Linked DNA regions of Saccharomyces cerevisiae S288C. The gene in region 2 interacts genetically with the main gene of each other region. Each region holds a gene or a part of one and is shown on either strand. Other genes may lie near its edges.

Region 1 (3,927 bases), on a different chromosome or scaffold from region 2:
TTTGGAATCGTGAAGTCAATCGAATCAGAGCTGAAGTTCAAAGCAGCAAACAATGTTTTGTTGTCGTATTTCTTTGTGAAGCTGAACAGTTTCTTATTGTCCAAATCAATAAACTCAAAATCATATCCATATACAGTAATATCCTTGTGTGCCTTTCTAAATCTCAAGGCCTCCTTCCAGAAGTTCAAAACCGAGTTGGGATCCTTGGATTCGTCTTCAGCGTTAATTCCTTCCCTGAAAGACTCGTTCAAGTAAAACCATGGTTTAGCATTAGGACCAGAAAAACCAGCATTTGGCTCCTCACGAGACCATTGCATAGGTGTTCTAGCATGGTCTCTGGAAATAAGGGCAATTGCTTCCAAAAACCTCTTCATCTCCTTCGAGTTTTCTCCATGCTCTTCCTTGATCGCATCATAGTTATTTCTAACTTCGACATCCTCGTATTTTTCGATAGGCCAGTTCTTGAAATTGATTTCACCCAGTTCCTGTCCTTGGTACACATATAGAGTACCGCTCAGTGACACCAACAACACAGACAACAACTTACCAGAAATAACACGGTTCTTAGGAGAATCGTCACCAAATCTGGTAATTGAACGAGGTTGGTCGTGATTTTCCAGATAAATTGTTGACCAACAATCAGTTCCGTTAACGTATCTGAAAAGTTCAGCAAGGGCAACCTTCCAATCCTTTAGTTCATATGGGATCAAATTTTGACGGAACTTGGGCGAAGTCCCGACATCAGTGTGGGAAAAGTTGAATAACTCACTAAGTTCGTGTCTTGATGCACTTGTATACAACCTCTTGGTTTCATCAGTAGCATGTTGCATTTCACCAACTGTCATAATTTCTCTGCCATCCTTCACTCTGTTTCTGATGAACTTGTTCATTTCTTGATGAAACTCATGGATACGTGGTCCGTTCATTGTGAAAGGATCACTGGGTTGCCACTTTGAGTTTTCGTCAATCACAGGAGCGTCTGGTAGACCAGCAACCTTGGAGTACAAGCTTCCCACATCAATTCTAAAGCCGTCTACACCATGGTCTAACCAGTATCCAACGGCACTTTCGTAGATTGCCTTTCTACAGTCCTCATTCTCCCAATTCAAATCAGGTTGGGTGGAGCAAAACAAACGCAAGTAAAACTCTTGTGTCTTTTCATCGAACGTCCATGCAGAACCACCGAAGTAAGACCTCCAATTGTTTGGAGGAATTGGCTTGCCTTCGGCGTCATAACCCTTAGGAGGTCTCCAGAAGAACCAGTCACGTTTTGGATTGGTTTTTGAGGATCTGCTCTCTTTGAACCATTCATGTTCGCTCGAGCAATGGTTGATGACTAAGTCGGTGATAAATTTCATACCAAGCTTATGTGTCTTTTCGATCAAGGCAAAGCAGTCCTCGTTCGTACCGTAGGTTGGCCAGACCTTTTCGTAGTTGGCAATATCGTAACCCATATCATCTTGTGGCGAGTCGTAGAATGGTGAGATCCAAATGGCATCGGCACCAAGCTCTTTGATATACTCCAACTTGGAGGCAATACCCTTCATATCACCCCACCCATCGTTGTTGGAGTCTTTGAAACTTGCGGGATAAATTTGATAGATTGTGGCCTCTTTCCACCACTTGGGTTCTGTTTCTGGATGTGCAGAAGAAATAGTCATTGTACGTTGCTTTCTTTTCTTTATGAAAAAACTTTCACTTTTGTTTGTGTGTTTGGACTGGTGAATGGAACATATATTCTAGTACAGCTAATTCCTCGAGTGAAGAAGTCTTTCTTACTTATATATGTCTTTTACGTGCCTATGGACGTCTTACGAATGATCGAAAATAAGAAAAGAACAAAGTAAATTTAGGATCTGGAAGGAGTGCTGTATGTAAACGAAGCTTTCAGTTTTAGGTAATGTTTGCACAACCTACATGATATAACATGGTATGTTCTGCAAGAGCGTGCCTGGCCCTTGGCCCGTTATAGCAGATCATACCATCTGCAAGCAGACCCCATTATTGCACTGCCTCCGCAATCTTGCGTATACGTAGTCCCACGACAAAGTACGAAGCGTAAACTGACCTTGTTCAGTTCCCCACAAAAATTACATAACCATTTCTCCGCGGAATTACATAATCATTTCTCCGCGAAAATTACATAATCATTTCTCCGTGCGAGTTATAAGTGCTTTTCTCGTGCATCCCTTGGCACTTCACAAAACCTTCTTTTTCTTTTTTTTCTTTATTTCAGGGGAAATCAGTGCAAAACTAAAAAAGAAAGAAATTTTGTGAAATGTAAACTCCAGGTGTCAAAAAATAAATTATATCCGTGGAAAATCAGGCGTCGGAAATTGTAGATGAAACCGCCTCCTCCACAATAAATGCTGACCACACGAACAATGCATACACTCGGACACCTTCGTTCAAAGTATCAGTAGCAGTTCGACACACCGTATACTACTTAGCTCTTAAGGTCTAGGCTCATCTTTCTCAGTTCCTCTTTTTCGCTAATTAAAGGTATATAATGTCACAGTTGTGTAACTAGAGAAGAGCACACTTGTTCCTATCTTTTTCTTCTTCTTTTTTTGGTATGAGTTGAAAAAAATAATCATTGCACAATTTAGTTCTAAACGCTTTTGTTATTACTCAATATCATGTCAGGTGTTAATAATACATCCGCAAATGAGTTATCTACTACCATGTCTAACTCTAACTCAGCAGTAGGCGCTCCCTCTGTTAAGACTGAACACGGTGACTCTAAAAATTCCCTTAACCTAGATGCCAATGAGCCACCTATTGACTTACCTCAAAAACCCCTCTCTGCGTATACCACCGTCGCAATCCTGTGTTTGATGATTGCATTTGGCGGCTTCATCTTTGGTTGGGATACCGGTACCATTTCTGGTTTTGTTAACCTTTCTGATTTCATCAGAAGGTTCGGTCAAAAAAATGACAAGGGAACCTACTACTTATCGAAAGTAAGAATGGGTTTGATCGTCTCAATATTCAACATTGGCTGCGCCATAGGCGGAATTGTCTTGTCAAAAGTCGGTGATATATATGGTCGTCGTATTGGATTGATTACAGTTACTGCCATTTACGTTGTAGGCATCCTAATCCAAATAACTTCCATAAACAAGTGGTACCAATACTTCATTGGAAGAATTATTTCTGGCCTAGGAGTGGGAGGCATTGCTGTCCTTTCCCCAATGTTGATATCTGAAGTTGCTCCCAAACATATCAGAGGAACTCTGGTCCAATTGTACCAGCTGATGGGTACGATGGGTATTTTTCTAGGATACTGTACCAATTACGGTACCAAGAACTATCACAACGCCACTCAATGGAGAGTCGGCCTTGGTCTTTGCTTTGCCTGGGCTACATTCATGGTTAGTGGAATGATGTTTGTACCAGAATCACCACGTTACCTGATTGAGGTTGGTAAAGATGAGGAAGCGAAACGTTCACTATCGAAATCCAACAAAGTCTCAGTTGACGATCCAGCCTTGCTAGTTGAATATGACACTATAAAGGCAGGAATTGAACTTGAAAAGCTGGCAGGTAACGCATCATGGTCTGAACTACTCTCCACTAAAACAAAGGTCTTTCAGCGTGTTCTCATGGGAGTGATGATCCAATCGCTGCAGCAATTAACCGGTGACAACTACTTCTTTTACTACGGTACCACCATCTTCAAATCTGTCGGTCTAAAGGACTCCTTTCAGACTTCGATCATTATCGGTGTGGTTAATTTTTTCTCTTCATTCATAGCGGTATACACCATTGAGAGGTTTGGACGCCGTACGTGTCTATTGTGGGGTGCTGCTTCTATGCTATGCTGCTTTGCTGTGTTTGCCTCCGTCGGTGTGACAAAGTTGTGGCCTCAAGGAAGCAGTCACCAAGACATTACTTCTCAGGGCGCCGGTAACTGTATGATTGTGT
Region 2 (3,927 bases):
CGAATCAATATCCAGGCACAAGTACCAGGTGCTAAAGAAAAAGTACTCTCATATTTGCTTGATTGCTGCTTGGGCTATTTTAACTAACTACTAACAATATTTTGCTTAAAAAATGGTAAATATGAATGTTTTACAGAAAAATAAAAAATGTATATATATAAAATCTCGAGCTAGCTGAGGGTTTTGGGAGCAGTCAAAGGGATTCCTTATTTCTTCCAAAAAAAAAAAAACAACCCTTTTACTTAACATTTATCAGCTGCATTTAATTCTCGCTGTTTTATGCTTGAGGACTGACTGATACTCTCATCAGCTAGCGAATCATGTTGAGTTTTTCCCTTTCCGAATGGATCAACCACAGTAGATGCAAATTTTCTGGCAGGAACCCCTTGGTTGAAAAGTTCATTAATTTCACTGAAGGTTCTACCAGTTGTCTCAGGCAGATCGATGATGACCCAAGCTAAAGTGACTGCTGTGAAACCACCCCAGTATAGACCAGTTTTGGCACCCCAGTTCCAATCGCTCACGTTTAGCATATAGGGCGTTAATATAGCGTTAATAACGGCCATGAGATTGTAGCAAATACGGGCCAGCACTATAGTCTTAGTTCTCAACTCCGCTGATGGAATTTCAGCAACGATACAGTAAACAACTGCACCGATACCAGCATTGTAAAAGAATGATAAAGCCAGCAATAAACCACCGGCACCATTACTAGCGCTGCTTCCAGAACCAAAACCCATTCCACCAATAATAAATAAGCAGACCATTTGAAATGCAAGACCATAGGTCAGTATTGTCCATCTACCAACACGGCCAGATATTACCCAGGAGCAAAGTGTACCCGCTAACCCAAGACAGTACTGAATTAGAGAAAAAGTAAACGCCTTGTCGGTGGCCATACCTGCTCTTTCAAAAAAATATGTCGAGTAACCAAGTAAAACGGCACCGCTACTATTTTGAGCTACCCAAGTTAAACATGCAAGTCTCGTTCTTCTTCCATTAACTCCCTTGAAACAATTAAAGAATGATCCTGATTTAGATGCTAAAAGTCTTTCTTTTTCAATAGTCAATTCAATCTGCTTTAAAGTAAGATCAACTTGAATGTCCTTCTCGGCGCCTTTACCACTCAAAATTCTGCTTAAAGATTTTCTTGCCTCAGCGACCCTATCCTTTCTCACCAACCACCAGGGCGACTCAGGAGCGAAAAAGATACCGATCATTAAAGGAGCAGGCCAAATCCATTGTAAAGCAAATGGCAATTTATAGCCCAAGTCGGAGTTCCCTAAATTCTCTTGTGAGTTTTTCATAATACCAGAGGCGAAGATTTGACCAAATAACCAACAAATGTTGGAGTAACTGGTCATGTAATATCTTAATGCTAAAGGGCAAACTTCCGAAGCATAAGTAACAGCCAAACTTTGGAAACAACCCCATGGTATAGCTGAGAGAATTTGTCCCACAGCAATCATAGCTAAACTTTTACAGTAGTAGAGGATAAAGATATAAGCAGTTAACAAACCAAGTGCTGTAATCATCGTATAACGATTCCCCATAAATTCAACCATATAAGTCGTGATTTGCAAACCAATCATCTCACCACAAAGGACACACATGTTTAAACCAATCTGCCATTGGGAAGTAATTTCGTAAGAACCCTCCCCGTTCAAAGTACCGAATTTTCTCTGAAAAACTGGCAGGGCATACAGTGCGCTCAGTAGTGCGGTATCATAACCTTCCATAACCAGGGTAGTAGACACTAATATGGACCACAGGGCTGCTTTTGGATATTTTAGCAACGCCTGCTTCAAAGTCATGCTTTTTTCCTCGCTGTTAGCTTCATTTGCATCATCAGTAGCGTTCATCTCATTAATCACATTCTCGTTATCTTCGTCAGAATCTCCTAACTGGGCTGAATTGGTGGTGAACTCTAAGTGGTCTAGCTCAAAGGCACTATCCTTTTTCCCTTCTTCAAAATCTTCAGTATTGAAAACCTCCTGTTGGTTTACAATATCTCTTGAAGACTCAGAAATGTTTTTATCCTCATTTTTTGAGGCAGCCTTCTTCTTGCTTACCAATGAAATGATATTTTTCATATTATACTATTTTTTTAGTTGTTTGATGTTCTTCTATGTAGCATCAGAAAGAAACACCAACCCGAAAATTCTTCAAACAATCAATACCAAACCGCTTTATATAAAAAATTAAGATGTCGACATTCCTTATTTTTTACTGAGTTCGTTAAAGTTGGGTACACTCTTGATTACTGTAATTGTCTCTGTATGTCCCTCAAGCCCGGTACGTTGTCATTTTCTAGTACGCATCAACGGAGTGTTACATGATAGATAGACCGAGTAGAATCTATGGCTATGGGGTAATTAAAACCTTAAAGCTCCTTTCGCTGCCATAGTAATACGAATAGACCTTGGCTATAGTAAGTTGCATCTGTACCGTAGAGATTCTTGCAACTCGCTTAAACTCTCGCTTTTAGATAATATTTCTCCTTATTGCGCGCTTCGTTGAAAATTTCGCTAAACACGGGGTTTAAGTTAAAGTTTACAGGATTTATCCGGAAATTTTCGCGGACCCCACACAATTAAGAATTGGCTCGAAGAGTGATAACGCATACTTTTCTTTTCTTTTTTTAGTTCCTAGCGTACCTAACGTAGGTAACATGATTTGGATCGTGGGATGATACAAACAACGTAAGATGAATAGTTCCTTCCTCAATTCTTCTTGCAGCATCATTTTCTTGAGGCGCTCTGGGCAAGGTATAAAAAGTTCCATTAATACGTCTCTAAAAAATTAAATCATCCATCTCTTAAGCAGTTTTTTTGATAATCTCAAATGTACATCAGTCAAGCGTAACTAAATTACATAAATGACTATTTCTGATCATCCAGAAACAGAACCAAAGTGGTGGAAAGAGGCCACAATCTATCAAATTTACCCAGCAAGTTTTAAAGACTCCAATAACGATGGCTGGGGTGATTTAAAAGGTATCACTTCCAAGTTGCAGTATATTAAAGATCTTGGCGTTGATGCTATTTGGGTTTGTCCGTTTTATGACTCTCCTCAACAAGATATGGGGTATGATATATCCAACTACGAAAAGGTCTGGCCCACATATGGTACCAATGAGGACTGTTTTGAGCTAATTGACAAGACTCATAAGCTGGGTATGAAATTCATCACCGATTTGGTTATCAACCACTGTTCTACAGAACACGAATGGTTCAAAGAGAGCAGATCCTCGAAGACCAATCCGAAGCGTGACTGGTTCTTCTGGAGACCTCCTAAGGGTTATGACGCCGAAGGCAAGCCAATTCCTCCAAACAATTGGAAATCTTTCTTTGGTGGTTCAGCTTGGACTTTTGATGAAACTACAAATGAATTTTACCTCCGTTTGTTTGCGAGTCGTCAAGTTGACTTGAATTGGGAGAATGAAGACTGCAGAAGGGCAATCTTTGAAAGTGCTGTTGGATTTTGGCTGGACCATGGTGTAGATGGTTTTAGAATCGATACCGCTGGTTTGTATTCGAAACGTCCTGGTTTACCAGATTCCCCAATTTTTGACAAAACCTCGAAATTACAACATCCAAATTGGGGGTCTCACAATGGTCCTAGGATTCATGAATATCATCAAGAACTACACAGATTTATGAAAAACAGGGTGAAAGATGGTAGAGAAATAATGACAGTCGGTGAAGTTGCCCATGGAAGTGATAATGCTTTATACACCAGTGCAGCTAGATACGAAGTCAGCGAAGTTTTCTCCTTCACGCACGTTGAAGTTGGTACCTCGCCATTTTTCCGTTATAACATAGTGCCCTTCACCTTGAAACAATGGAAAGAAGCCATTGCATCGAACTTTTTGTTCATTAACGGTACTGATAGTTGGGCTACCACCTACATCGAGAATCACGATCA

Evidence for each region.
Region 1: of MAL11 (region 2) and IMA2, changing one enhances a phenotype caused by changing the other (phenotypic enhancement), as found in Saccharomyces cerevisiae (one study listed by BioGRID).

What each region holds. Positions count from the first base shown.
Region 1 is NC_001147.6:22,634-26,560, forward strand, and holds the start of IMA2 (oligo-1,6-glucosidase IMA2), read right to left. Parts: upstream 1,662-3,927; coding exon 1-1,661. Other genes in the region: hexose transporter HXT11, read left to right, coding at 2,640-3,927. UniProt on the Saccharomyces cerevisiae protein: Alpha-glucosidase with specificity for isomaltase, methyl-alpha-glucoside, and palatinose.
Region 2 is NC_001139.9:1,073,721-1,077,647, forward strand, and holds MAL11 (alpha-glucoside permease), read right to left. Parts: upstream 2,094-3,927; coding exon 243-2,093; downstream 1-242. Other genes in the region: alpha-glucosidase MAL12, read left to right, coding at 2,879-3,927. UniProt on the Saccharomyces cerevisiae protein: High-affinity uptake of alpha-glucosides such as maltose, turanose, isomaltose, alpha-methylglucoside, maltotriose, palatinose, trehalose, melezitose and glucose. Acts with the concomitant transport of protons into the cell (symport system).